Drosophila melanogaster: one gene and its partners. The protein of the gene in region 1 interacts with the protein of each later gene in a biochemical or structural test. Each region holds a gene or a part of one and is shown on either strand. Other genes may lie near its edges.

Evidence for each region.
Region 2: of the proteins of Krn (region 1) and rho-4, one has a biochemical effect on the other in vitro, tested with the Drosophila melanogaster proteins (one study listed by BioGRID).
Region 3: of the proteins of Krn (region 1) and rho, one has a biochemical effect on the other in vitro, tested with the Drosophila melanogaster proteins (2 studies listed by BioGRID).
Region 4: of the proteins of Krn (region 1) and ru, one has a biochemical effect on the other in vitro, tested with the Drosophila melanogaster proteins (one study listed by BioGRID).

The regions. Positions count from the first base shown.
Region 1 is NT_037436.4:17,648,380-17,656,443, reverse strand, and holds Krn (keren), read left to right. Parts: upstream 1-2,163; 5' UTR 2,164-2,452; intron 2,453-5,817; 5' UTR 5,818-5,911; coding exon 5,912-6,565; 3' UTR 6,566-6,882; downstream 6,883-8,064. Other genes in the region: CG7484 (uncharacterized protein), read right to left, coding at 848-1,226, 1,544-1,662, 1,718-1,756; Ndfip (Nedd4 family interacting protein), read left to right, coding at 7,200-8,003.
Region 2 is NC_004354.4:11,597,812-11,606,594, forward strand, and holds rho-4 (rhomboid-4), read left to right. Parts: upstream 1-2,026; 5' UTR 2,027-2,275; coding exon 2,276-2,515; intron 2,516-5,431; exon of another isoform or gene 5,432-5,525; coding exon of another isoform or gene 5,526-6,068; exon of another isoform or gene 6,069-6,083; intron 6,084-6,263; exon of another isoform or gene 6,264-6,383; intron 6,384-6,500; coding exon 6,501-6,862; intron 6,863-6,924; coding exon 6,925-7,267; intron 7,268-7,326; coding exon 7,327-7,635; 3' UTR 7,636-8,477; downstream 8,478-8,783. Other genes in the region: CG2533 (uncharacterized protein), read right to left, coding at 5,526-6,068.
Region 3 is NT_037436.4:1,461,412-1,469,873, reverse strand, and holds rho (rhomboid), read right to left. Parts: upstream 6,064-8,462; 5' UTR 5,744-6,063; intron 4,409-5,743; 5' UTR 4,388-4,408; coding exon 4,052-4,387; intron 3,385-4,051; coding exon 2,967-3,384; intron 2,835-2,966; coding exon 2,521-2,834; 3' UTR 930-2,520; downstream 1-929.
Region 4 is NT_037436.4:1,368,178-1,374,078, forward strand, and holds the start of ru (roughoid), read left to right. Parts: upstream 1-2,450; 5' UTR 2,451-2,703; intron 2,704-5,901.

The DNA of each region.
Region 1 (8,064 bases):
AAATTGTCACTACTTTTTGGTGATATTTTCTAAGAGCACCGATCTCATTATTATATGAATATATGGTTGACTTAGGAACTGTTTGATCATGCGCGGTATCCGGATAAAAACAAGATTAAGAGAGCGGAAAGACGGCGATGTCAAGGCTGCGTCACAGATCGGAAATAGACATCAGCTACGATTTTGGCGGGCAGAAATATGCTGTTTGCCGTTTCAGTTACCACAATTACTCCAGCAGGCTGATCAAATATTGATCGACTTGAGGACCCCCACCATGTGAGCCCACTACGTCACTGCTGACGGCCACAAAGGGGGGGGGGGGGTGTGGTGTGGTGTGATGTCTTTGCGATAAGAATTTCGGCTACAATGCCGCGAATTTGTTGCCTCAGCCGGGAACTTTCCTTTGCCATCGATAACAAGATAACAAATAAAATGATTTAATTTATACTTATGAATCGAAAACTCCCACGGCGTCGCATTGCAGTAACTGGCTTGTCAGTTACTCTCAAACTGTGTCCACAGCTTTTCCGCGGTGGCGCGTAGAAAAGCTCACGCCACCTTGCAGTGGCTCTAAAAACTTTTAAAAACTAAATCTCTTTAGTTAGATTAGATCTCTCATATTACAAGCCAATTTTATGTATATCCCTGATCTTGATGTTTATATTTTTTAAATTCAGTGGCTTGACATCCCAGAAGTTTGGAGTACTAATCTCACGTCTACACATTTTTAGTTCTTGAACAGAATATATTTAACAAAATATAAATATTCAATGATTTTGAAAGAAAATGGTACGGTCTATAGTTTTGTTTCGGATTTTATTAATCTACAGTTTTGGGTATGCTTATTTTAGATCCTGTTGGTTCGCAGGTAATCTTCATCGTCATCTCCATCGGCATCCTCCACCACGCTGTACGAATTCTTGCCGGCACCATCCTTGGCCAGATGCGTTTCGAAGAACTCCTCGACAGTGTCTGTGTTCCACTTGGTTATGGACAACGTCTCCTGCACTTTGCCACTGGCATCTAGGAGCTTAACCACGGGATCCAGTCCTCTTACGTATTTGATCTGCAGGTTGGGGAACTTGGCAGGTCGGCCGCTTTGAATAAAGGCCTGAATCTGCGGATAGGCCCGGAATTTGCAGGTGCACACCTCCAGAATTGCCTTGGCATATGTCCGCTGTGCCGCCGGCTGCTGATCCAAAGTGCAGCATTGCTTACACTGAGGCCTGAAATGTTAAAAATGTTTTGGATGAATAAAAAAGAGCAATGGGCTCAAGCAGAAACTATAAAAAGTTAATATAATTTTTGTTATTAAAAACTGAAGGAAGAATCATATTTAGTCAGTGGTATGGAGGAGCTTACTAAGTCAAGCTAAGCATTTTTGGTTGGAATATTTAAAATGAGGTATGAAATTTAACCTGATCTAATTAGATTAACATATTAATTAAACAATTTTCAGGTCTTCTTATGGAATGATTATAGCATAGTTCATGGGTATCTTTACAACTCCAAAGCTAGATTAATTAAATGTTATTGAACCCACTTGATGGTATCCAATCCGAAATCATCCAGTTTTTCGCAACTGGAACACATTAACTGGGCCTTAATAAAACCCAACGCCCGGCAGTCGGCGGCCGTCAATTCGGCTTGAATTTGCTGGCACTGTAGGGTATAAAATATATATTAAAAACATGTCTTAGCTTCAGACATAACTTACACTTAAAGCCAGTAGAAGAAATATAGCACATTTATGCATTTTTGTGGCTAAATTCTAATTAAATTTACTACGTCCACGTCGTTGTTTACAAAATTTTCTTAGCTTAGTGATGAGTAGAAGGGAAAATAACATTATTTAGGCTTATCGATTATATTCGGGTTGCTTGTCTTTTCATCGTTTAGGGTATTCCGTATACTGTTTATGAATTAGACAATTAATCAAACTTTTGAACAGCTTTAATAAACTTATTATTATTATTTCTTGATATTTTTTCAGCAATTTGAAACTTTTGTCACTATAAAAGTGTACAAAATAATTTCAGGTTTTTATATTCAAGTACGCAAGTTTATTTTCCGATGTTAATAACTAATTTCATGTGATTCGATAGCTTATCACGCTTACATCCCTACAATCGATACGGACTGCCCAGCAGCTGGCCACCACTAGCTCAGAAATCGAAGATTATTCGTGGTGGTGCATTTGTTTTTTTCGCTTCGCTCGCGAAGTGAGCCCAGTTTTAAATTATTTAAATTGCGTATAGTGAAGCCACTTGAAAGCGAAACGCCTACTGTCGCAGTTCTGCCAAAAAACCAACAGTATTAGCTGTGTGCGTGTTTGGCAACAACAAGTCAACAAAATTCGAACAAAATCAATAAAACGGAAACGTGAGAGAGCGCTGCGCAAAAGAGAAAAGCGAACGCAATCGCAATCGACCAACGCATAGAAGAAAACAAGGTGAATAAATAGAACATGGCATAGAAAAGGCGAACTAGAATCAAATCGAATTAAAATCGGGTACAGAAATAGACGTGAAAAGAAAGGGCGAAGAAAGGGAAACAAATAACCGTTACAGGAGCACTCCTGGAGATTTAAGGCTCTCTCTCCCCCTCCTCAGCACTTTAGCCCCAGTTGTGCGTTTGTGTGTGTACATGTGTTTATGTTTTGTTTAGCACATTAATAATCTTAATTCTGCTAGATTTCGCCACTCAGGTGCTAAACGCTAAAAAAAAAAGTGCACACTCCGATAAGTCTACCCCTGTGTCGGTGTACTTGTTTATTTAATTCATATTTACTCAAGTAAATTAATTCATTTGCCCTTGTACAATAACAACAAGCGCCGTTTGCTTGGAAACTCGTTCTCGCAGTCGACCGCCTCCCCTCTTCGCTCCTAATCTTATTCTTTCTCTATTCCACTGCAATACCACTGCAGCTGTCGGTGCCTGTGTGTTTTTCATTCAATCCAGGAAATTGCCCCTTGAGAGACCTTCCATTCAGACAGCTCCATCTGCATCTTCTTCAGCTTCTTCCGCTTGCATCTTCATCCTCTCTCTTGTGCTCCCGGTCCCGTTTAACTGGTTTACTTTATGCTTTATTCCACTGATGCCTCCTCTATCGCCCTCTCCCTTGCGCACACCTGCTGCTTGGCAGCTGTCCACGCGCTCAAATTTCTTATCACCGAACAAACTCCGGCTGAAACCCAAAACCTGGCCCAAACTGCGTTGTTACTTTTCCACGGCAATTCCCTAATTTCCAACGCCTTTTGTCACGGCCCTGTTGCTTTCTCCCTCTCGAGAGCTCTAACTCCCTCTCCAATCCTATTTTTACATACACGCATACGCAGTAAAACTTGGCTATGACAAACCACATATTATTCTATAGATACCAAATACTGTTTTTTTAATACTGTATATTGTTAGATACAAAAACACTTTTGGAATTACAAATCCAGATGGAATTATTAAAAAAAAATATGTATATATTTTGCACAAAATTTCTCATCTGTTTCAAAGGTAATTCCATATGTGTTGACATTTAGAAATGTAAAAGCTTTTCTATTTATTTTAAAGATTCAAAAATTATTTTTAGCCGAATGCATACGCATTAAAAGCAAATCGATTTATTCGGTTTAAACATCTATTGTTTTTCAATGGAAAAACCAGTGTATTTTCCAGAGAACCTTACCTAAGTTTTTATATGTATATATTACATTGAAAATAATTATATGCCAGCTTTGAAGCATGTTAACGATAAGTGTACTTGAGCCCGATTGTTAGTGAATTCTTAAAAAATAAGAATGAGCAAAGTCGCTTTACATTGGGATTGATTGTGAAATCCTCCAAATCTTTGTGTGTCACTATAGAGTCTTATTTAAAATGATATTACCAAATGTATTGGCAAAACGCAGATAAGTTCAACTGTACAATGTGCAATCTCTCGGTTTCGTGCAATTTTGCAATTTTTCAAATGCCCGCACATCTGACTCATCCACAGGTAACTGTAATTACTGCCTAGCATCCACTTGCTTTCCGCACCTGTGGATGGTATTTGTCACCTTATCAATACGGTTTCTCTGTGTTGACTGTGATTTTAGATATTCCTGCGCACGAAAAAAATTGGACACCTCTAAATTTAATTATACAAATAGTACTGTTTATGTTTTCCTATATTTATTGAAGTATTTTAAAGTGTGTATACAAAAGTAATTATTGAGTGCATATGAAACCAAAGTCTTTTGTATTCTGATACAAAAATCATATCATATATGATATCAAAATTTATTTCTGTGTACTCTGCTGTTTGTGAGGTCAATTTTTGATAAGCCACCAGGTGCTCATTTAGCTCGTTGGCGCCTATTAGCTCATTATTCAAGCTTACGTCCGGCTCACCCACATACCCACAGATATAAAAAAAAACTATACAAAAAACCCATATATGCACTCGCAGAAATTAGGGCCAACTTAAGCCCACTCACGCAGTTTCTTTATTGGCTTGAACTATTTTTGTTTTGCTCGTTTGGCTCCGTTTATATTTCAATTGACCGAAAGGTCATCTTAATTGCATTTGTGTTTTGCGACTGTCGCACTGTCCTACTCGCACTCGCACTCGCACTCTTCTCCTGCCATTTCAGCTGTCAACTTTCACTCGTGAGCTTTGTTGTTGTTATTTTTAGACGTAGGTGCGTGCCACACATGTGATGGGAGGAAAGGGGAAATTTTATGGGGCTTAGGGCTCCGTTGAGCTTTACAAAGCAATTGGACACGGTTTAGTCCAAGGACTCGCGACTGTGGATTGAGATTCCGACTAGTGACGAGAGTCCTAGAAAATAAAAGCTAAATGCTATCTTATATATAATTGACTGTTTGAAATAAAGTACAAATATTAGATTTAATGTGCTAACATCCAAACAGGTGACGAAAGCAAAACTTTTTAAAACGAAGTGTATATTTATTATAATTGCAACTGTTTCGCTCTTCTTTCCTTCACTTCCAAGTAGAAGAATATAACTTTAGTTTTGATTAATAATGTAATATTGCATGTTTGAATAAAAAAATAGTTCAATTTCACTGACATATTTCCTAATATAAATTTAGACAGTTAAGTTGGCATGACTAGCGTTTATTGAAAGCACTTAGAAAGTTTTAATTTACGTTAAGTGGAATTCCGAAAATTAGTGTTTCTGAAAACGACACTGTTATTGTGGATCACAACTAAGGCGAGCACTAATTTGTTTATGTTTTTTACGCCCACTCAAATGGTCGCCACTCAAATGTTGCTTACAAATGATGTATTTGTTTCAGCAGAATTACTCAACATCGTTGTTTCTGTTGATCATTCGAATTATTTTGTTTATATACGCAACGGGATCAGTTACATTCTAATGAAGCTCATTCTTTCTCCGGAAAAGATCTTGTTTATAACAAGGCGTTTCGAAATCCTAAGGTTAAATCAATTTTTTATACGTTTAAATACATCTTGTATTAAACAGTTTTTATATATTGAAGTGCCTGAAGTGTTCGCTATGTTAAGTGAGAGTGTAAACAGAAAAACCAATTGATAATGAATGCAGGCTGTGCAAATGCCACAGCCGCTTGGGTTCCGCTCGCGATTCCGGCCAGGTAAATAAACGATGTCATTTTTTTGTTAAAAATTTATGAAATTCGATTTTCTGTTTCTCGTTCTCACTTAGGTCGAGGAGCATAGGTTGTAATTGTGAGAAGGAGGCGGCTGGCGGTGCTAGGCAGGCAATTAACCCACACAGACCCGAACACGAGCTTACATTTTTGATTTGTTTTTAATTGCACTTCGTTTTTGTTTTGCAGCCGCCTGCCAGCCAAAGCCAAGAATTCCACATTACAAAACACCTTAAACTGCATTGCCACATTCCCAAGTAAGCTGCCATGAGTTAAGATCAAGATGCGAGCCCAGGATCTGCTGCTGCTTGCCACCGCTTTAATCGGCGCTTACCTACCGCTCACCGCCGCCTGTTCCTCGCGTGCCATCGCTAAGCCGCGGCCAACAGCTGCACCGATCCTGCCGCCGGATAATGTGGAAATATCCACAACGCCGAGACCGAATGTCACCTTCCCGATCTTCGCCTGTCCACCGACCTATGTCGCCTGGTATTGCCTGAACGATGGCACCTGCTTTACGGTGAAGATCCACAATGAAATCCTATACAACTGCGAATGTGCGCTGGGATTTATGGGTCCGAGGTGCGAGTACAAGGAGATTGATGGCTCGTACCTGCCAACCAGGAACCGTGTGATGCTAGAGAAGGCCAGCATTGTTAGCGGAGCAACGCTGGCCCTTCTGTTTATGGCCATGTGCTGTGTGGTTTTGTATCTGCGACACGAGAAGCTGCAAAAACAAAAGCTGCACGACAGCACCACAACCACAACGACCGACGGTGGCTGTCAGAACGAGGGCATGGACGAGGTGGATGGCTTGCGACCCTTACGTCCAGTGAGACGTCCCTTTGGACCCTGCCGCATCCTATCGCTGGAGGAGGCCCACCTTCAAGCGAAAGCCTCCAATCGCCCCAGGCATTGCAACGAACTTTTGCGCTAACTAATTAGCCTGGCTGCTCATTTGTTTTTAAATGTCTAACATGTCCAACTGTTTATTTTAACTGCTAAACGAAACTATTATTTTTGCCATCTGATTGAGATGGCGAATGCCGTAGTTCTAAGTGCCTACTGACGTGCCTATAACACATTTAGATCAAGTATTAACGAACGAAAACTGATTGCTCAGAGAGAGATAAAAATAAATCTAGATATAATTCAATGCAATTTTGGCAGCTAGCCGCCCATTTATTTATTATACACCTAATTTTATTAAAAAAAAAAACGCGTGAACTAATATCGTCAATAAAAGCGAGAACTAAATCACCAGCTTTACTTTCAATTTAGATAATGCAAATTTCGAATACCTTTAGAATTTGATTGGGAATAGTTTGCACAAAATTCACCATGGCCTTGATTTTCCTTTTATTTCAGAGATGCATGTAAATACTAAACAGTTGATCTGTTAAGCTACACGAAAATAAGGATATCTTAAATTTAGTATGTAAGAAAGAAAAGAATTTCTTAAGAATCTTCTTTTCTGAGACGTCACCTTAGGCTGTCAAAAAAATTCATATGCTTTGTAACCCCTTAAGCACTGAATTAATTTTCCCGTTTTCCGTTTGTAATTTCCAGTCATGCCGCACAACAACCAGCCGTCTCCCGGGGATGATCAGTTGGGACCGCCAAAGGCGGACTTCAGTGCTCCGCCACCGTACGAGGCGAACGTTGGCCATGGCCAGCAGGTAGCACTGCCGGCTCAGATGCCACCGCTGGCCTTGGCCACACCCGATCCCAGTCAGATCCCGATACAGATGCAAGTGCAGCTGCCGAGCCAGGCGGACCTTATGAATGCACAACTGCCGCCAGAAATACACGGGAAGTTGCCCACGTACGAGGAGGTTCAAATGGAAAAGTCGCTGAACGGAGAGCTGCCGCCCGCCTTTTTGACTTTACCCTCCTCGCAGCAGCTACCGCCGCCGCCGAATCCGCTACTGCCGCCAAATCCGCTGCGCGATGGAGCCGCTGCTGTGCGATCTGCCCAGCCGGCACTCACGTTCATCGCCATCGATGCCAGCGATCCGGAAAATAGTCTGTCCACCACCGACAACTTGCTCGGCACGGACATCATGTTCATCACGGCCTTCATTGTGGCCTTTTTGTTTAACTGGATCGGCTTCCTGATGCTCACCTGTTTCTGTCACACAATCGCCGCCCGATATGGAGCATTGTCGGGATTCGGATTGTCGCTGGCTAAATGGACGCTGATCGTGAAGCACTCGACGGACTTGGCCTCGCACGAAAACTCCTGGCTCTGGTGGCTGATCTGTGCCTTTGGCTTCCTGATCAGCATACGCGCTTTAATACAGTATGTCAGCATCAAGCGATCGTGGCGCCTCCTTTCCGCCTCTGCCCAGGAACGGCTGCTATTCTTTTACTAGGTGCACCTGGAGGCTTTCCAGTGGTCGTCTTGTAAATACGTTGTGGGTGGCTAGGAGGCTC
Region 2 (8,783 bases), on another chromosome or scaffold:
GTTTTTAGGTGCTACGCGCTTTATGGCCCGCTCTTAATCTTATCGCAAATCAAATCAAACCGCGGCCAATGAGCACCGTAATTTCACTTTTTGGCTAACGGTAACGGCACTTCCGCTCTCCGAATTCGATATTCAAACAGTCGCATTCCATCGAAAAGCGAAACAAGAAGTGGCCGTAAAAATGACCGTGAAAACAGTGAATCGCCAGCAGAGCCAAACGCCCACCCAGCAACGGCAATTGCATCAGCAGCGGGACGTCGAGAATGGGCTCTATCCCACGATTTCGGACGGAATATGCCACATTATTATCGGATAGAATACAGGAAATGTAGGATTTAGGTAAGGGAATAATAAATTTCTAGTAGTTTTCAAGTCATTTTGGAGAGCACATAGTGGTTAATTCATGCACCATATTAATGCATGGGAAATTGGCGAAAAACAAACACTCAGCCGGCACTTCGCGGCACTCACACCTACACAATCATACGTGCGTGTGAATGAAGTTGCTTGTGCTTGTGGTGGTCTGCCCTGTTGCCGTCTTCTTCTCACCCTCGGTGAAAGTTGAGTTCAATGAATCATCTGAGCATCGATCCGCTATGGCGGCGATCTTCACTCTTCGCACTCACTCAACAGGGGGATTCTATCTACGAATCCATCAGTTTCGGCCGCTTCGATTCTAGTTTAGTTAGCACTCTCTTCTGGTTGATTTGGGCAGATTCATATATATATATGTATATAGGTATGTATGATCATACGATTAGCATACGAGATAAGCTGCCAATCCAATCCAAACACAAGGCGCTGGAAATCGGCATTCCATACACATTCCTACTCTCTTTTGGCTGGAAATCTTATCCGATTTCCCTCGCTTCAAACATCAAAATACTCTGTTTGGGTTTCCCGAGCGTTGATTCATTAATCTAGCCATGATATAACAACCAAAATAATATCAAGCTATAGAATATATTTTTTAAAGAAAAAAAATCAGTCTGCGGGCATCCAGTTCTCAGCGAGAACTTAGCGGCATCCAGCTAATGGAGGAGACAGTAGTGGCTTCGCCACAGCAGCCATGCCTTCGTCGTTCCGTACGTCTAGCGGGTAGGATGCGTTCGCAGAACTATAGAGCCATTCCCAAGGTTATGAATTTGCGGCGCAGCACGCGGCTGGCGGGAATCCGGGAACATGCCACCTCCGTTGTTGTGGAAAACGGGACGCGCCTTCAAAGTGCAGTCCAAAAGAAACGCACGCGAAAAGTGAAACCTGCGCCCAAGGCCTGGATGGCCAATAATACTAAATGTTTACTGGGCCATCTTAACAATGGAAACGTTAAGCAATTGCAGGAGATTCCAGGGATCGGTTCAAAGACCGCCTCTATTTTGGCCGTGCACAGGTCAGTTGACATACGTTCATTTGCGTTTTACCCAATAACCCTTAATCCTTAATCCACATTTTTCAGATCCCGCCTGGGTTGCTTCAAGAATCTAATTGAAGTCAAATCCCTGCCCATTTGGTCGGGAAATAAATGGAAACGATTTTCTCAAATTAACTGTCTTGACACTTGATACAATTACTAATTAAATAGCATTTTAATTCGAATATAGTATAGTGATTGTTATTTATGTGGCATATACTTTGATTTTACAACTATAGTAGGAGTAAAAAAAAAGGAGCCGGATATCCTTAAAGAAACAGTTATATATGTGATTTATTTTTTAAATAGGCTTACCTAGGATATATTATATAATATATTAAATTAACAAAACAAGTTGGCATTTTAAATTAAAGCACAAATTGATTGTTATAAAAGTATTAAACAAAAAAAACTAGTCAAAAAAGAAAAACTTTCAAATAAATGACTTATTAAAAGTGACCAAATAAATAATATTCATTAACTTTTTTTTTCAAATTTAACTCCCTTTCAGCGTTGCCAGATTGGGTTGCATGCGGGATTTGATTATTTTTATGCACAAATTCTGGGTAGAGAGCCACTTGTGCTGCTCCGGCAGCTGGTCACACTGTACAGTCGCGCAGTTTGGTTTCTTTGGTGCGAGAAGACGGTTGGTGTTGTTATTTTTTTTTTTAGTTCGCTCCGCTGTTTTTAGGTGCTACGCGCTTTATGGCCCGCTCTTAATCTTATCGCAAATCAAATCAAACCGCGGCCAATGAGCACCGTAATTTCACTTTTTGGCTAACGGTAACGGCACTTCCGCTCTCCGAATTCGATATTCAAACAGTCGCATTCCATCGAAAAGCGAAACAAGAAGTGGCCGCAAAAATGCCCGTGAAAACAGTGAATCGCCAGCAGAGCCAAACGCCCGCCCAACAACTGCAATTGCAGCAGCAGCGGGACGTCGAGAATGGGCTCTATCCCACGATTCCGGCCGAGCGACGATCGCCCCCCTCGCGTCCGCAAACGCTGCGACAGGACACCATCGATATGGAGGAAATACCGCTCAATCAGACGAACAGCCAGGAGCCAGAGGATCGGCGCAAAATGCACGAGATATTTGACAAGGTATGTAGGACTTATAATACTCGCAATTCCCTTCCCCAGCACAAGTGGCAGCTCCTCCTAAGTATTAGATCTTTTCTGGTTTGTAGAGCCAGCTAACCAAGTAGTAGCCATGGTAACTATACCTATAAAGGTATTACTGTTCACACGGTGTTACAACTTAGCACTATATCTTTAAAGTAAATCTATGATGATTTAACGTTGATTTAATAGTTATGCCACATTATTATCGGATAGAATACAGGAAATGTAGGATTTAGGTAAGGGAATAATAAATTTCTATTAGTTTTCAAGTCATTTTGGAGAGCACATAGTGGTTAATTCATTAGTTAGAACCAGCTACGACTAATTATCCCATTTAAACTGGCTGGTGGTAGGCAACAGAAGGTTAATGCTGAGATCTTGTGAAATTGCACCATATTAATGCATGGGAAATTCGCGAAAAACAGAAGAACGACTGTAATTAAAACACACAGCCGGCACTTCGCGGCACTCACACACACACACTCATACGTGCGTGTGAATGAAGTTGCTTGTGCTTGTGTGGTCGGCCCTGTTGCCGTCTTCTTCTCACCCTCGGTGAAAGTTGAGTTCGATGAATCATCTGAGCATCGATCCGCTATGGCGGCGCTCTTCACTCTTCGCACTCTCCCAAGAAAACCCCACCTTTAACCCTTCAATGGGCCGGCGGGCGAAAACCGACACGATCAGATGCTTTTGTTTGCAAACATGCCAGTGGAACAAACTTAAGGTATACATTATTAAAAAAAAACCTTGTATCTTGTGGTGATTAATAAATACGTGAGATTTGATTCCCGTTTAACATTAATGGGTTAAGAATTCGATTATAGTGCCTAAATAATCAACTGCTATATGTACTTATATCATACAAGCATAATTACACTTTTCGGTGTATTTAACCCATCACCGCTTGTCTGTCAGTCAATTTTGCACTTTCGCAGAATTCCGTATCACATTTTATAAGCTTTTTTTCGCTGCAGTTTGTTTTCTTAAAGTAGAAAAATCGTGTGTGCTGCAAAAAAAAATGGGGGGGAGGGTGGTTGCCTACTGTTGGGGGACTGAGTTTTCTTATCGTGACAGAGGGTTGGGGGAAAAAGACCAGCAAAAAAAGAAGAAGAAAAACCGGTTATAAATTATTGTTTGTTCGCTTTGAGTTCTGCCTTTGTTGTTGTTGTTGCTCTTGCTTTATTCTTGGTGGCGTTAGTCACTTAACCCCCAACTGACACCCACCGCCCACCTGTTTGCCCGAGTGTTACCATTATCAATTTAACAATTTGTGGATTTCGTCTTTTTTAATTCTACCAGTGCGATTGCCTCAACGTGCAACGTCCTCTTGATTCACCATTTGTTTATAGCCATATAGAGTGTGTAGCGTTCATATCGCGTTCAATGTACCCCGGCAACAAGGGGATTCTATCTACGAATCCATCAGTTTTGGCCGCTTCGATTCCAGTTTAGTTAGCACTCTCTCCTGGTTGATTTGGACAGATACGTATATATGTATGTATATAGGTATTCTAACCATACGATTAGCATACAAGATGAGCTGCCAATCCAATCCAAACACATTCGATGCCGCTGGAAATCGGCATTCCAGACACATTCCTATTCTCTTTTGGCTGGAAATCTTATCTGAATTCCCTCGCTACAAACATTCAAGTGGCCAAAATACTCTGCTTGGGTTTTCCGAGCGTTGATTCAATAATCTAGCCATGATATAACAACCAAAATAATAGCAAGCTATAGAACATATTTTGTCAAAAAAAAAAAAATCACCAATCTCAACCAACATTATTCGTTGGAAAGTTCAACTTGAACCCGGAGGGGACTGTATCATTTTGATATTTTTGAAATATCATGTTTGATATGTCACAGATAACAGTCTTTCTGATATGGGAAAATAGCAGATAGATGACCATTTTCGTTGATATTTTTATTCATTGAGCTGTGCAAAAGAGTAAATCTTAAGTTGTCTGTTGGCTAATATAGGAAAGTTTTGGAACTTCAGGTGTTCCAATGGTTTTACAATTAACTTTTTCCGAAAACCATATTTTTTACAAACTGACCAAGTGGCTTTCGTGTGTTCCGAACACACTTGACGACTATGACTAAGTCCCAATCCCCGCGAGACTCCGTTACCGCTGGCAGCTTATCGCCTGGTTTTGATAATAACCAACTTTTTGGTTTTGTTTTTTCCCCCTGTTCTGTTTTATTTTAAGAACACCTAAAGGTGTAAAATATTAGTTTACGACTGGAAAGGAGGATACATATTTATGTGCATGTACATACATGGGCACCTATCTAATTGTCTATAGTATATGCCAATGTCTTTCCTCTTTTTTTTTGCGTGAATCTAACTTTTAAGTGCGAGCGTTGACTTTTCGCTGGGTTTTCTTTGTTATCCCAGTTCCTAGTTATTTACTTTACTAAATACCTTAACCATACTTAAAAGGTCAGTGCGCATAGCTTACCTATGACAAATGTTTTTTATGATCGAAAACCGAGAATACAAAGCGATAAGACAGTAACATCCATATAGGGACTTTCTATTGGCGAAATGGCAATTGAGAATTTCGAACTTCTGAAAGGAATAGGTGACAAATGTTTTTTTTTTAGCAAAATCCTTTTGTATTTACCAATGGGGATTATTGACGTTTTGCAAAAACCATCAGTTGCGTTTAGTTCACAATAACTTTGGATGCCTTTGTGCAACTTCATGTGACTTTGTTTCGATTTGTTTTCGATTAGCCCCGTTTTGGATTTCTAGTTTCTCGTCTCGATCTGTGGCATTTATTCCTGCCCATTTATGGCCACTTTTTGGTCCGACAGCGTTCGCGGCTGTGTTGCAAGTGCTGATGGTGATGCAATCAAAAAGGAGGAAAATCACTCAACAAACATAATAATATGTGGGTACTTGTTTATTTGTGAACTCATGCTGCAGGTTTGAGTGTGTTACGCTATGATTTAGAATAGTTCCTCGGGTGAATGAGATTCATTCGGAGTCTAAGGGAAGGTCAAAGAAAGTGGAATTTTGGCTCTTGGGGGCGAGGCAACTGGTGGCCTGCTCCTCCTCTGGCGCATCCACAGCATCGTGCCAATCCTGGGAATCGTGCTCCTCCTGCTCCTTCTGATCCGTTAGCTGGAGCAGACGCATCCGCAAGCGCTGCTCTTCCAGTTGAATGACTGAAGGCCTAGGAGCAGCCACTTCGCGAATAAGCGATGGCATGGCGGTCGTCCAGTTTGGCAGCAGAGTTAACCCCGTTGCCCTGCCCTGCCGCTCCAGACGCTGCAACTGGCGGCGCTCCATGGCCATCAGTTCCCGCTTGGCCCGGGCCCGCACCTGGTCGTCGCTGGTCGTGGTGCAGAGACTCAGGGCCGCAAAGATGCCGGCCATGCCCAGGTAGAGAACCAGTACGGTCACAATGCCGGACGATTCCTGCAGCGGCTCCTCCTCCTCCGCGACGTCGCATGTGGGCGTCGGTGTCCAGCCAAGCCAAGAGGTCACGTGGCGGGTCATCTCCATCAGTTGCGACATCGTTCTCGGTTGAATCTTGAGGCGAAGATACAAATATATATAATATATGTATGGTTTATACTAAATAATTATGTCATTAACCGATGACACCAAGCAAATGGTAGTTTCTTTACTTCCTTCTAGGGAAATGTATTCAGTAGTTTATTTTTATTACAGCCTAGTTTTAAAAGGTAGGATGAATGCGCTGATATGTACCCAATTGTAATCGGTGTTTCCAAGATGTTGTATTTCAAGATTTTTTGGATTCGGTGCGGGCCTGCCCGACCACTCGGAATTTCAGCTAGGTACTGAGTGTTCGAATCCCTAATGTTTTCGAACCCCCATGACGCTTTAGTATATGGCCTACTGTGTTTAAATGTTGACTTACCCAGATTCTATGTGTGAGCTTAATCATGATGACTAACCAACCATATGTATATGCCTCTCACACAGCACGACTCTGACAGAGATGGGCTGATCAACACGCACGAGCTGAAGGAACTGATCTCGGATGGCTATTGCCGGGACATTCCCGCCTACATCGCCGACCAGATCCTGAAGCGCAGCGATCAGGATAACGACGGCCACCTGGACTTCGAGGAATTCTATGCGATGTCCCTGCGCCACAAGTGGATGGTGCGCAACATGCTGACCCGCTACTGTCGCTACGTTGTGCCGCCACCGAAGCCCTTAGAGGGCGATGAGCCCGACGGTGCCTACGAGAAGCAAATGTCCATCTGCCCGCCGCCGCTCACCATGGTGCTCTTCTCGATTATCGAGATAATCATGTTCCTCGTGGACGTCATACATTTCCAGTGAGTAGTGATGGTACAATTGGTTGTATATGATAATAACACTAGTAATCTGCTATGTTCAGGGACGATCCCAACTACCAGGATCGCATAGGCGAGAGCACAAGTGGACCAGCGGCCACCCTGTTCATCTACAATCCGTACAAGCGCTATGAGGGATGGCGCTTTGTTAGCTACATGTTCGTTCACGTGGGCATCATGCATCTGATGATGAACCTGATTATCCAGATCTTTCTGGGCATCGCCCTGGAGCTGGTGCATCACTGGTGGCGCGTGGGTCTGGTCTACCTGGCTGGCGTGTTAGCCGGTTCCATGGGCACCTCGCTAACCAGTCCTCGCATCTTTCTAGCGGGCGCATCGGGTGGAGTATACGCACTGATCACAGCCCACATTGCCACGATAATTATGGTAAGTCTTTGTTATACTATTTGATATTATTCCATAATTACCTTATGGTCGCCAAACAGAACTACTCGGAAATGGAGTACGCCATTGTCCAGCTGCTGGCCTTTCTGGTCTTCTGCTTCACCGACTTGGGTACCTCGGTGTACCGCCACTTGACCGACCAGCACGATCAGATTGGCTATGTGGCGCATTTGTCCGGTGCCGTCGCCGGTTTGCTGGTGGGGATCGGTGTGCTGCGCAATTTGGAGGTGCGGCGATGGGAGCGCATTCTCTGGTGGGTCGCCGTCATCGTTTACTTTGCCCTCATGACCACTGGCATCATCATACACGTGTTTGTTCCCGACTACTTCCCAAAACAGGAGTACAACTAGCCCCATCACTAGCTCTAGCCCTAGCCCTAACCCTTAACCATGTCCAAAGTGCACTTCGATATTGAGCCGAGGTTGCAGTACGCACAGTACTATATATAGGATTTCTTCTGACCATGTGCCTATGCCAGCTGCAAAAATAATTTATTTTTTTACAACTTGCCATGTCAGCTTCATTCCCAATCCGAAAGTGGTGCAAGCATGTCGTACGTATTTTTATATATTTATATACATACATACATATATAGTAACGTAATTATGCCTTCCTCATAATTCTCTTATACAAAAGACCGACCGCGGTGGTCCGCCGTATCGATTCCTTGTTACTCGATATTGCGCATCCACTTAAGCCGTAACCAAAACCCAGACACTAGGCAGGCACATACATAGCCACGTAGCACATAAGAATTCTTTTTCATATGTATGCACAAAAGCATAAGCAAGAAGCGCTCTCGCGCAGATCAAGTAAACAACCCACTAACCAAGTACATTTAAGATTTTCTCACACCATTTGTTTCAGTCTTAAGCTGATATTCAATCAATAAAAACGCAAAGCGAATTCATTCGAAGTTTTTATTCATTTCGGTTCAAATACGGATCATTTATTCGACTCAAAAGCAAAAATTATTTTACTATATGTATTCTCGATCCACATGACGCGACGCGGCGCAACGAAATGTCGACGGAGAACAAAACTCAGAGCTGCATTTGTATTACACATTTCGTTGACATTTTTTTTTTTTCAAGAAAAACGAGAAATATCTTTAAACAAAGTGTACTGTATATTTTTGGAGATTTATTATTAAGATCTTATATATTTAAATGTAATAAAAACAATGTCTTTGTACGAAGAAGATGGGTGTTTTGCGTATGATTTTTATTTTTTTAATTGTGTCATTCATGTTCAAATGTAATGAGTACAACTTTGATCTTGCCTTCGTAGGACCAGCAAGACCAGGCAGAACTACTTACACGCAATCTTACATAAGTACTATATTTTTATAGTGAAATTTATAGTTCACTTCCCAAAACAGTGGTTTAAGTCGATTTAGTATGATCCAGCAATTAACCCATTTATTTATTATGTTTACATGTTTTTCTTTTCTGTTCATTACAAGCTGTCAATTTGTAAGCAGCGTCGCTTGATTGCA
Region 3 (8,462 bases), about 16 Mb from region 1:
TGTTGCTGTATCTCTTGTATCGCCCATCGCCCGTAATTGTATAATTTAAGCGGAAATTAATTGACAGGTGCAATCATTCAGCTCTGATTATGCACAATTACTAATTGCAGTTAGCGGAACACAAAAAAGATGTTCTTAGTCTATGTGAATTGTATTACTTACGTACATTTTACTGTTTCATCCAAGTGTTTTATTCATTTTCCGATGTAATCAAGCATCTTTGATTTGCCAACGCTTCCTTGATTATGCATCATTAATAAGTGAAATATTGGGGGATTATACCCTGTACTTTTTTAGTAAAAGAGTAGGTTTGTATTTCTTAAATTAGGTGGGAAGTACAGGACTAATTGAGAATATCCTCAACAATTTCGATTAGTTGTACTCGATCAGCATGTTTCTGCTTTAGTTTTCTATTAAGTGCTTATTGCTAATAGGTATGCATTAGTCGACTAAACGCAAACAGCTGGCAAATGTTTTTGGTTCGCTTCAAGTCCTTCGAGTTGAATGCCGATTTGGAAATTCATGGACTTAGTCCTGCTAATCCAGTTGGATTGAATATAATACTCGCATGAGATGTGGAATCACAGACAATATGAATTATTACAAAATGCGTATGCTGCGCCTTCATATTTCATATTGGGGCAACTATCGATTGGTGGCAGTGGCAACATTCGAGTGGGAAAATTCGTTGACACAAGTCTTCTGCGGAGTGGGTATTAATTAAGGATTTTCTTCGAGTCTTAGTTGTAGTTGCAACCTTTCGCTTTGAATTGCCATATTTATGTGGAGCAAATATTGATTGGGCTGCCCCCCAAAAAACTCATCCAGCAGAGGATACATACATACACAAGCTCAACTCGCCCTGAGTTATTTGTGAAGAAAACGAGAAATTCATATATAATTTAGACATTTATTTTTGTTCAATTTTTCTCTCCTTATTTATTTATCTATAATTTTTTGCTATTTGCATTTCTTCTGTCCCTTGTCTCGTGCTGAACATTTCCGTTTCCTAGTTTGTTTTATTTTATTTTTTTGTTTTGTTTTTTTTTTTTCATCGGGTGGAGTGTGGATCCATTATTTTGGAAAATCGAGTATGCTATCTTGGGGTTTTGTGGCCCAAAAGGATTCTATTTTGGCTTACGCTTTGCTGGCCTTTATGCCAGATTAGCTGTTTTCATTCGGCGATTACTTTGAATATTTCTCTATTTGCGTACGATATATATATATATATATGTATATATATATGTGTATCGGTCAATATGTCAAGTATCTTGATAATCTGCTGGCTCGATTATTTATTGCCCTTAAATTGTGGGAATTAAAACCAAGCGAGCCGACAGCCAAAAACTGAAAGTAAAATAAAAATACAAAATGGGAAATGAAAACGCTTTTGCTTGTATTTTGTTATTACTGTTGTATTCTTGAAATGTTTTGATTTTTTATTTTCTTTGGCTTTTCGTGTGTATTTTTCAATTGGATATTTTTACAGTTGAATTGGTTTGTTTCTTCTCTCTCTTGTGTTGTTGTTGTTTTTTCGTGCTTGTTTGTGTGAATTTCACTAAATTATTAAATAAATAAATAAATAAATAGTTCGCTCAATTGACGAATTAATAAACCCTCGCTGCCCTACCATAAATAAATATAATTAGTAATACTTTCGAGTGTGTGTGTGTGTGTGTGTGTGTAGGGGATTACGATGCTCGATTTTGTAACGCATTAAGTGACTTTAGTATAATTTAATTTAATTTAACTCGATTTGCTTAATTGATCTGAATTGAATGGTTCTTTGCTGTGGTTTTCCATATTTTTTTTGTTGTTTTTGCTGTTGCTGTTGTTGTTGTTTGACTAGTGTGCGACTTAATAGTATTTACAATTTGAAACAATTTGTTAGGAGGGCTAGTTATACCTAAATATATATAAATTATAACACTAAATCCTACAATTCGGAGCACATTATGCTTATGGATGTATAAACAATTTGATACAGTTTGCTGATGCTTCGATTCGATTCATTCGTAGTAATTGCGGCCAATAAATACATAATTTAAGAAAACAGACAAACCATTAATTGAAAACATGGATAAATCATTTAAATCATAGCGAGAGGCGATTAGTTCTGTTTCTCCTCTTTGATTTTCCTCTTGATTTTTACTTGGTTTTTACACGCGAAATAAATTCAGTCTTTGGTTCTATCACAACATTTGTTTACACGTTTCGGCTTCGGTTTATGTTCTCCTCACTCCTCGCACTTTCTTTTTGTCCAGTGTATTTCTCTTGATTTGTTTTTTTTTTTTTTGAGTTTGTGTACTATGTTTCGGAACTGAAACGTTTAACTGCAAACGGTAACGATAACGAGATAATGCTAACGAAAAGCAAAAGCCAAACGAATATCGAATTAGTTTTGAACTAAATCGTTGAGTGAACTTTTCTTTTCCACCAACTCTCTGTCTCTCGATCTCTCCTGAAGCTCAAGCAGATTCCGAATCCCTGCGAGCATGCTGACGACTCCGAACCTCAAACTTAGGACACTCCCAGGTCGTGCAACAGATGCTGGGTAATCACCTCACCCTGCTCCTCCATCAGCTGAGCGGTCACCGTGTTGATCAGGTTGAAAACGATGGCGAAGACGGTGAAGGCACAGTAGACGCCCAACGCTAGCCACCAGATGAGCTGCTCGTACTCTCGGTGACCGAAGTTCTTTAGCACCAGAAAGCCGATCGTTAGTCCTGCCAGGGCTCCCGTCAGGTGGGCAATGTACGACACCTGGGGACCCTTGGCGAAGGCGCTTCCATCGAAGTATTGGGTGTAGAGAGCATAGCCCAGATCGCAGGAGACTGCAAATGGAAGAACAGAAGGGATTCAAGTTAGTTAAGTTAAACATAGAAGAAAAAGATGTGACAAATTCGTGTTTAGGTAGGATAGATTAGGTTCTATAGATTCTAGTCATAAGGTGTGGGGAAACTCACCAAAGATGACAACGGATCCGAGTTGCGTGGATGCGCTCTTCATGTGCGCATAGTTCAGTGTAATGTTGGCCAGATGTGCGGCCAACAGGGCATAGACGCCACCGCTGGCGCCCACCAGGAAGACCTCCGAGTCGACGACACTGGTGCCCAGGGATCCGGCAAAAACGCCCGCCATGTAGATCACGCCGATCCTGGCCGTGCCGTGCATCACCTCCAGGGGAATGCCAAAAAACAGCTGGATGACGATATTGAAGCCCAGGTGGAACCAGTTGGCGTGCAGGAACATGTAGCTAAAGAAGCGCCACACCTGCAGACGCCGGTCCGGCCGATAGACCAGCACCGAATCCGACGGAATCGGAACGGGTAGCCCGAAATTCTGGGCGGGCATTGTGTAGCGGTCGTAGGCGAAGATGGCAATCTAAAATGGACAGAGACGCAAAGAATTGGGGGTTAGTTCTGGGCTCTCGCTCTGATTTATGTTGTTGCTGTCTGGCACGCGACCACGTTCCAAATAAAGTCTTATGAGAATGCTTAGGGGCGAGTCCTGCCAACTTGGCAGGGCTTCAAACTCACTAAACTCATACGCCCCGTGGGCCGCCCTGTTTATTTGATATTCGTGCTAGTTTCTATACGAAGCAAATTATTTCCAATACGAATGTAAGGGGTCATGTAAAAGTGTATTGTTTATTTTAAACTCAATGTTCCAAGTTACCAATTTCGCTATCAAACTAACTATCATTTCCATCTTCTCATCTTCCACTGTTTTTCACATGACAATTTTTGGTCTGCCCTTAAAAAATAAAAAAAAGAAAAAACTACGAACGGTCTGGTTTCATAAACTTTTCTGTTCGCTTTTTTTCCTTCGGCTGTTTTGTTGTTCAACTTGTTTACAATCGATTTTCGGGGGCGCCAGCGAGTCAGACGCAGAAAACGAAACACGAAAAGCGAGGAAAACTCTCGGAAAACTTCCGCCCTTCGTCGCCGCTTTCCGCCCCCTATATCATTTTTATCGCTCTTGGGATGAAAGTTTGCGGCTTCTTTGATTTAATGGGTTGAGTTACTGAGTTCGCTGTGTGTGTGCTTACCTCAATGATGGAGATCACTAGGATGAACCAGGGCCAGTGCTGGCGGTGGACGTACTTCAGCAGGCCGATATCCTCCGACTCCGGAAGTGGCGTGGCCGGGATGGCCTCGCGTTGCATGTAGATGTGCTCGCCTTGGCGGGTGCAGCAGGTGCTGCTCGCCGTGCTGCAATCGGTGTCGTACGACGAGGAGTTGGAGGAACTGGAGCACGCGGCGGGAATGTCAATGATGGTCTCCTTGGCGGCGGTGGCATGCTCCTCCTCCTGCGACGCCTCCTTCTCCTTCTCCTGGCCCAAATCCACCTTGGTTTCGTTTACATTCTGCGTTAAGTTCTCCATGCTGGCGCCGTTGAAGAAATTCTGGAGAAAGAGAGGAGCGCATAAAGTGTGTAATTAATTAACTTGAACCGAACAATAAACAAAAATCAATTAAGTGCATAAGTTATTCATAAAACGCAGCACAAAACAAGAGCAATTACAACACTTCAGAAAAACCAGAGTGTGTGGGGAAATGCAGCAGAAATAAAAGAAAAGCGAAGGAAAAGCCTGCTTCTTTGTGGGTAAGAATTTTGTTTATGGCCTGGGACACGGATTCCGATGCCTGCAACTTCCTGGCTGCTTTTCCCCGAAGGGAAAACTGGGTCAGCTTGTGTGAGCTAACCATAAAATTTGATGGGCCAAGTTTGCTTTTGTGGCCCGAAATTAGCTGGACAAAATTGAAGATGTAGCTTGTGTAGCATCTACGCCGTTACATAAACTGCACTTTCAGCCCTGAAATCATCTTCGCTAATGGCCAACTAATCAGCTAATGGCCAGGCATTATTGTAATTCATTGCCCAGAGACATTTCCTCACAAATTATGTTAATCGCATTCGATTCAATTACAGTCACAGCACAAATCTTCTTAAATTCCCCAAACAACTGTTCGTCGCAACAAGGAAAAAAAATAACAAATTCATTGCCTTGCTCAACAAAAAAAAAAAAAATAAACTTAAAAAAACGCGTTTCTCCCACTCACACTCATTGTGTTCGCATATGCCCCCTCTCTCTCTTTCGCCTCAAGTCGCATTGCACACACGCACCGTTGTTGCTTTTGTGTCTGCTACCTACACTGCTCGAAAAAGTGAGTGGGTGCCGTGCCTTGGCTGGCGCTCTTTTCATGTTCTTCATTTCGGTTGCCTAGCAATTTCAATAAGGCACGAAATCGCAGTCGGCCGCTTATTAATTAATTTATTTATTAACTTTAATTGCAGACTGCACCGAATGTCCATGCGAGCATGAAGAAGAGATGTCGAAAGCGGGCTTTAAGACATAATGAATTAATTCATTCGGCCTTCTTTTCATCATTTCTTTCTTCTCATTTTTTTTTTTTGTCTGTTTGGTCAGAAACATAGTTTCACATGGCCCGCGGTGTAATTTGCATTTTTTATGCTTTCTGCTGCACTCGCACCCCTAAAAAAAAAAACGGGCAAAGGGTGCGAGCGAGAGAGATAGAGCGAGCGGGCACACAGGTTGAACAAACTCATTACGCCTCTAAGTTGAAATGCTTTTGTTTTGCCGCTGTGACAATTTCTATTGCAATTTGCACATTTCTTGCATATCCCTTGTGGCTTGTAGCTTGTATCTCGCAACTCATATTTTGTATCTTGTATCTTTTAGCTCTCGCGCATTTTCTCATTAGGGTCGGGGGCTTACCTTAGGTTTTTCTGCCTGTCGCAATGTTTATAATCCAAAATGCGTGGGTTTCTTGTAATCCAAATGTCTTTAGTTAGCTGGCATATTCGCACGTTTTTCACTCGCTTTTTTCGGCTCGCACATTGGTAACTTAGTTTTGCTGCTCGTAAATCCAGGAGCTTGTATTCAGATATTCTTGAGATATATATTCTCTGCTTGCACCCACACACACGACAATTTGAATATTTCTTTCTTTCAGTTTCAATTTCAGTTTCGAGTCGCAGTCCGACTTTCTCAGTTTGATGATCTCGCGCTCGCGGCTCGCACGCAACTGACTTTCGAAAGGCAAGGCAGCCGGCCTTTATAAGTGCTCGCTGTGCGGTGCAGTATAAGAGAGCCACTTCGAACATGTTGTGTTTTGGTTCGGCCGTATAAGTGTTGCATGGCACATCCGGATCTTGTCTTGTGTGGGTGGGTGGGGTGTGCGCACTGCAGTCACTCGACTGCTGCAGCTCGAGGCGAGCGGTTCGAAGGTTTTTCGTCGCTGGTTATTCACTGGTTTCCCCCATCTGCCGCCTTGCCACATAACGGTGAATGACTCATCCAGACGGGCCAGCACTTCTTGCCAATGCCACTGACTAACAAATGCGTCGTCTTCTGTCTTCTGTCTTCTCGCCGATCTCCAGCGATCTGCGCTTTGTCATGGCCTACTACGCAGATCTGAGCTCTAATCTCTGCAATGTTGCGAAATTCTAGCAAGGCCTTTGCGTTTAATTGCCTTTCAGCAAAACCGACTTTTATCTCATTTTATATTATTACTAGTAATATATATTAACGTACTAGAAGAGGTTTAAGCTCATTTTAGTTGTATTTGTAAAGGTACCAAGTCCATTGTTTTGCTGAGTTTCCCGTCGATGCCTTTAAACAAAGACAAGAAAGTCAAACAAATTGTTAACACAATTAAAGATGATGAAATCGGTAGTAGCAGTCGCTTTTTCTTTAGCTCCGCACTTTCGAATAGTTTCCAGAAATAACTTCAATGTCACAATTGCTCACAATGGTAATGTAAATTAGTTTCTAAACTAAAAAAACTAGCAAAACTATTTGCTTGCTTAGAAATAGTTTTAAAATTCCTCTATTGATACGTAACCGTTCAATAGCTAAAACATTGCTTCTATAATTCTGTTGTTTTTAAGGGAACGTGCCACTGCAAGTGGCCAAAAATGCAAATAAAGTATATCGGCTCAGCAATGCAGAACATGTCATGGAATCGAATTCGAAACCGAGCCCCGTCCTGATTCCCCTTGATTCCCCGATTCCCCGTAGAAGATCATCATTGTCAGGGGTTTCGAATTTCACACCTTTTCCAGCGAGAGCTCCCTCGGAGGCGTTGAGCGAGCAGATAGAAATCGGTAGCAAAAATAAATATTTATACAAATTATTAGGCAGCCTGAGCCGTTGCAGTCACGAGTTCGCGGGAAAGGTCACCACGGCATGTTGCACAAAAGGAGTAGCTTTCGGCTTCCTGGCCGAAAGGATCGAGACGACGTGGTTACGTGTTTTGCATGATAAGCTGGGAATTTACACAGATCTAATAGATAGATATACCCATCCTGGCCAGTCATCCTCATCGGCGGCATGAAAACTCCCGCATGAAAAGTGAAAATATTTTCACTGGGCGCAAAAGAGAGGCGAAACAGATTCAGAGTCCTCGTCCTCGTCCACTGAGATTTATGATGACTTTTTAACATGTGCGTGCAACAGGTAAGCAGATACGAAAACACAGTTGCTGCACTACATGCCCATGACCAGGCACGTCATCAGCTCGGAGTTTCTCAGCTCATCTTCATCGTAAATCCTTTTTTCCCACGTTCCCTCAGGTCGAGTTCCTCCATCCTCCATTGCTGCGTTTTCATTGTGCCAGACACGCATTGCCAGCACTCCACGGACATGGACCCACTGGCACTGGCAAGGTCAGCCACCGTACCAAAGCAATCTCAGCCACCCAAAACACTCGAGCTCGAATTCAGGTAACCGAGTGGGCGTGGGTAGGACGTGGGCTTTTCCCACGCAGGACAGGACGTTGATTCCTGGCCCGTCGCCCGGGAATTTCCCCCAAAACATGTGCTCAACATATGCGAGTGCCTCATGGCATCGCGAATCAGGAAATTCCGCCCGCCACTTGCGCTTCCCGCCGCACAGCAAGGTGTCCTTTTTCCGCTTCCCAGAGTTTCGTTTCGCGACTTTTTGTTGCAGCCGCACTTGTCTTCCGCAAGTTGCGCCAAATGTTTCGCGATGTGTGTTTTTCCCACCGCATGTTTTCCCATTTTTCCATCCTGCCCAAGGATCTTAGCACTAATCATCCGACAGGGGCGCGTCTTTCAAGCAGCTTCTGAGAAGGCAGATGCAAATGGGATCGTGCGATCTGGATGATGCCCTGAGTCCTGAAAGCGACTCACTTAACTGACTCCGCAGCAAAAAGGGGAATTAAAATTCGTATCAAACTGTTGTTTTAATCATTTTGATTTTGAGCAGAGGAAAAGCTTGCGAAATAGAATATAACGACAACTTCTTGAACAAATTTGCAAACAAACAAATAACAATGGAAATGCCAGAAGTGACGGGCGTTGAAGATACCAAAGGGGCGAAATACAAACTTGACGGGCCAATTGCAAATGGCAATGGGAGTGGAATTGAAAAATTGATTGAGAATGAAGGCCAATAATAATGGAGTAAGTAA
Region 4 (5,901 bases), about 16 Mb from region 1:
TCTCTTTCCTTGGCACGAGCAGCAAACAAAATAAACAACAACGCGCACGAGAAGAAGTTGAAGGCGAAGCGACAGTGGCATTCGCAGGATATTTTGAGGGGGGTTGCAATCAATATCCTTTAAACACATTAGGCATATTTTTAATAAATTAAGTATTCCCCTCTTCAACCCCCCTCCATTTCAATGATTTCAGGTGTTTGCTTTTGCCCCAAAACCCCCGAAATTTCATCGCCTACGTCACTGCATGTCACTGTTATTTTTGATGTTTTTGTTGTTCGAACATCTGTTCGATTCGCCCCGTCCCTTTCGCTCCCCCTCCATCCCTCCACCCAACCGTAATCACATTTTATTGGATTTTATTTTGCGTGCGTTAAATCGCCTAATCGTCTTTGTTTTTTTTTCCTGTACTTTTCGGCTTATCTGTGTTTTGCATAAATCGCTTTTTGCCTTTGCTTTTCGCTGGCTGTTTGAATTTGTTTGATTTTTGTTGTAGCCTCTTTTGTTATTTTTGTGATTTTTTATTTTTGCTTTGCGCAATATTTTCACCTTGTTTTTTGTGTGTATTATTTTTGGCTTTTATGATTTTTTCTTTGTTTTCGTTTCATTTTCTTCATTTTTTTTTGTGCAATTAAACACGTTGAAGAAAATATAAAAAAATAAATGGGCAAGAGTGAAAATGAGCGAGGAAAAAAATATACAAAACACGAAAAAAATGACAGCTTAAAAAATTGTCTTTTTAGCCCATGCAATTTTTATGGGCAAATGTTTATCCTGTGTTTTCTATTTTACGACTGCGCGTAATGGAATTGAATTGAAAGTGTTTTCTTTGGTCGCGCTGGAAAAACATTTGCGGCACAAGATATTAATTATAAGCTTTTTAGTCGTTGCTAGTATTTAGTGCTAACTTTTAAACCAAAGCATTTGGTGCCTTTTTAATTTATTATCGAGCTACCTTCTTCATATTAACTATCTAGTAATGTGGAAGAAACTTTAATCTTAGTTTTAGTTATTTTATAGTAACTAGCTTGCATTTAATTCAAATTGCAAACAGCACCCCTATATTATATTAACAGTTATCCTCTTGGCACCCTTAATTTCATAAAAAAAGGGGGTCCATAGACCCTATTCAACTGCCACCTTATTCATCTTGAAGTCAATTCAAATCCAATCTGCGCGATTCGAGGTGGTATTCGCAGGGCGAGCGAGCGAGATAGCTGCTGTGTGGGAGTGAGAGGGGGCTAGGGCGGTACAAAGGGTCGGGCAGCGCCCTCATCAGCTGTCAGCGGCAGCAGAATGAGGCCCATTTGATGAAGATGTTTCTGCAATTGTTAAGTGTATCTGGGCCCTTTCGATGTTTGCTGTTTGCTATTTGCTATTTGAGCTGGGAAATGGAAGGAGGCCACAACACATCAAAATTATACTCGATATGTTAACAAGTTCAGATACAAAAGAGATGACTGGTCCCAAGAGATGCCAGAGATAGCCCACATAAATAAGTATCTCGTGGCTGGTGGTAGCTCGTATCTCGTGTCTTGTATCTTGTATCTCGTGTCTTGTATCTGATGGATGCACCTATTGACACCCAATAAACAAGGCGAAAACAGCAGCTGCGACCGAAGTGCTTTGATTTATTTATCAGGGGCAAGAAATCAACGTTGGGTGTTTTTTTTATCAAATCTATCTAATTATACATAAACTTTTACTTTTTTACAGTACCAAGATCAGTTTGCAAACGAAAAAACATTGGCCAGATATAATTTGAGGCATAAGCCTCGCTTTTTTTGTTTCCCCCAATTGTTTCACATTTGGTAATGCAATAATTGAGTTAATTAGCCAAAAAGGGAAAACACTGTTTCACAAATGGATTAAGGGGACAAAGATGCTAACTTAATAAGTGACTTGTTAATTATCCGTCGGCGGCTGCATCTGCAACTGTCTCCCTCTCGCTCTCCGTCTCTCCACTTTCTCTGTCGCACCTGCAGCTGCCGGTAAAAGCCAGCTGGCTCCTGGCTATCCCTCTCCCTTTCACTCGTTCGCCCCATCTCACTTCCTCACGTGACTCCTTTGCGTGTACCGTTCACCGGATGGTGGCCAAAAAAAGCAAAAAGCCACGACAAAGGAAAACTTGGCAACGCGTTCGAACCTCGAACATGTTTGCTGCACCTGGCTTTATTGTTCAAAAGGGTGGCTTAAAAGGGGGAGGCGGTTTGCAGGGGGGGGGGGGGGTTTCTTACCTTGGCCAGCAAGAGCCGGCTTTTCGAAAGGGGTGCAAAATGGAAAAAAAGCACACACACACAAACACACGCACAACTAACACAGCGGACTGTGCACATGTAAACCCTCCGGTAAGGAGGCTCTACCCCTTTCGGTTTTTGGCCAGGCCGGCACTTTGCGAATCTATAAAAGTATCGGGCCGCATAAAAAACGAGCTCAGTTGTGAACGGTACTTTGTAACGGCAACCGGCGGCAGCACGCGCAACTAACGGTTCACTGGAAAAGTAGAGAAAAACCACCGAGGAAAAACTTAGTGGAAAAGCACCGAACATTCGTACCGTTCGTAGCATTTACTGCTCGGATCGACTGCCGCAGTAACTTGTCGCTCATCCTCGAAAGAAATAAAAAATAGAAGCTGCAACCAGTTCACATAATCCTGCCCCCCCCGGATGGCCTGCACAAGAGTCAACCATTTCATCACCCCCCTCGGTAAGTCATAACACCCCCCGCCTAGGATTCCCACTCTCAATCCCCCATCTATTCCATATCTCACCCACGGAGATCCCGGCAAAACCCCCCAAAAAAATAAATCCATCGGCTTAAAACTTGGCAAAACTCAGCTCCAAACTCAACCATGCTGAGCTGAACGTATTTGACTAGAGCGAGCACTGCAAAAAATAAAGGTGTACTTCATGGTGCGAAAAATTATCGCACTGAATATATAATATTCTCTTTTACTGCCGTTAATATCCATCCTCTATTTATAACAGAAACCAATCTTATTAGTTAGCCATCGCAGTTTTTGTTTTCAGTGCATGTAAATCTGCATCTGTCAGTGCGGCAGCAGCTTCAGCATCAGTATCTCTGTCTGCTTTGTATCTTTTGGGTTGTAAAAACATCTGTGCTTGTCGTTCGGCATCCGTATTTGCTGCCGTTTGCAACGGGCCAACTGCAATGCTACCAACCACTCCCACCCACCCAGCCAGCCACCAGTCGCACATTGCGTATACGCAACGTGGAGCGCGGATTTAACTAAAAACCGTTTGCGCCCGAGCTGTCAGCAAATGGCAAGCACTTTCCGTTGAAATCTCCCCCGGGTCACCCGGTTTTTATATATATATGTATGTGTGGGCTGCCCTGCTCCATTTTCGATATCTTTTGTGGGATCTCGGACAAGTGCTACTTCTGGCCAACTTCTGGCCAGAACTTCTTGGCCAGCTAGCTACTGGTTGGTTGGCTATTCGATTTCCATTGTCTCTTTTCGAATGGAAACCCATGTGCGTGTAGGCAGGAGTGGCCAACGATCGATGGAGAGGGTCTGTCTGTGCGTGTGGGCGGTCCTCGGAGCTCCCAGTTTGGCCATCCATCTTGCCACCAAACCCACCAAGTTCGTGTGTCTCCAGGGCGAGAAGACGCCACATTTGGCTCACTTTTGTTTACACTTTGATTTATTTACGCAGCCTCGAAAAGTATTTCATTCAATCGCAACGATGCGAATTTTATTCACTTTCCGAAATTTTTCTATTCTCGTGAAACTTTTGCTAAACATAAAAGTGCCAAAGTCTCGAAATCGAAATGGAAATCAAAACCAAGATCCGTTTCAGATGCACAAATCATGGACAAAATGACAGGGGAGTTGGGGCTGCCTTGGGCTTTTGTCACTGGTGAAGTTTTTGTCGAGTGCATGAAAATACGAAAAAATTAATGCGTTGGCTATTCTTGAAAAAATCATACGCAATGCATTTTAATTTTTCGTGTCTCTTGTTCGTTTTTTGTTTGTAAATATATAGTTTTTAAATGTGTCAAGTTTGCTTTTATACGCGTCAGAGTGAGAGAGGCAACGCCGAAAATAAAAACAATATAGCGAAACAAACAAAAAAAAAAAATGAAAAAAAGTCGAAAAAAGACCCAAAGACCTGATTTCAGGGTGGCTTAGTTTTGTTTACCCATTTTCGGGCCACTTTTCTTTTACTAACGTGTGCAGAAGTGAAAAAGTTTTAAAGATATATGGTAAAAAAAAGTTTCCCAAGTCATATTTGTATCAAAGGAAAGCTGTGAATTAAAATTACTATCCAAGTTGTAAGACTTTAATTACCATTTGCTTCCGTTTGCTGAACTAAATTTGGCCAAAACTTCTGACTGCTATTAAATTCAGCAACTGATTTGTGTCGTTCTCCCCCATTTTCCAGCGCAGAAGTCAACAGTTTATAGTGTTTAATCATTCTTAAGCTGTCTCCACCTCCGCACCACCCCTTCACCCCTTCACCCCTTCACCGCTCTTCCCTTTTGGATCACCTTTGACCTTCATTAGTGTCAGACCCTCTCGCATTCGCATTAATCTAGGCAGACATTTCAAGTTGAGCTGTTGCAAGACAATGGCTCAAGCAGTTTTGTAGTTTGTCTTGTCGGCCAAGGTGCACACGCACACACTCCAGATACAGATACAGATACATTGATGGTATCTTTGAGATACTCACTCGCACAAACGCATACAAAATAGAGCTCATAAATCAGTGCAGAAGCGAAATAGTGTGTAAAAAATTGTTGTGCAACTAGGCTTTTCTGAACCAAAAATGTTAACAAATATTTTCAACTTTTAAGCTAATCAATTTAACTTTCAAATAACAAGTATATATGCTGCTAGTTAGTGCTTCAGAAATTGAATAAATTCCGTAAGAAATTGCCGGATTATGCAACCATTCGAAGTTGCACCCCCGCCAGCCCCCACTGCCCACCGACCAGCCACGCCCCCGCCACGCTGAGGCGCCCCAAAGTCTCAAAGCGACACAAACAAAGAACTCGAGTGGCGTGTGTGTGTGTGTGTGTTGCACAAAACCGACGCGAAACGAAAAGTCCGAAAAAACAACACACAGTCGGCTGAAGGAAAAACCTTCGCGGCGGAAAAACAAAAAATAAGCAGAGCAGCGATGTGAAAAGTTGAATGCCTAACAACTTGAAACACGCTAAAAATGCGAAAAAAGAGATCCACACACAAAAAAAAAACAATAAATAAAGAAAAACAAAAGTCCAAAGATGGAGCACACAATAACTATAACAACAAGAACAATGAGTCGGAAAATGTGGAAATGTCTTGGGAATCTTGCAAAATGGATGAAGCTGCTGACGTTGTTGCTGCAGTTTGCTGAATTAGATAAAAGTTTAGGAAATGTTTATGCTCGAACTAAGGCGCAGATGAATAGCGCAGGAACTCCTTTTACCAAATACCCTCGATGGAGCAGCCAAGGGTGCAAAAGTCTATTGGGATTCACATGCATCTGGTGTGGGTTTCTACACAAACTTGACCAGTCGGATTGCTCGGAAAATGGTGCAAGTGAAGCTACGTAATTATTCAATGGGAAAACTCAAACTTTTGGTCATTAAAATGATATTTGGTTTGTTTATACTGCGACTAGATGTTGTTATTCATATCTTAGTACATATATTGCTTGCAGTATCAATTCCAGGGTACTTCACTTGCAGTGCCAACCATTTTCCCTCAGATTTATTTTTATATTTTTAAACTCAGGTAGGATAAGGCAACCTGGCAAATGGCAGGCGGAAATGCACCGAAAATAAATGTGGGTAAAAATGCCAAGGAGAAGTGGAAAACGGTGTTTGCTTCGCCCGGACGGGAACTTTAGTTGCCATTGCAACTGCAGTTAGTGGAATGTTGTCTACACGTAAATA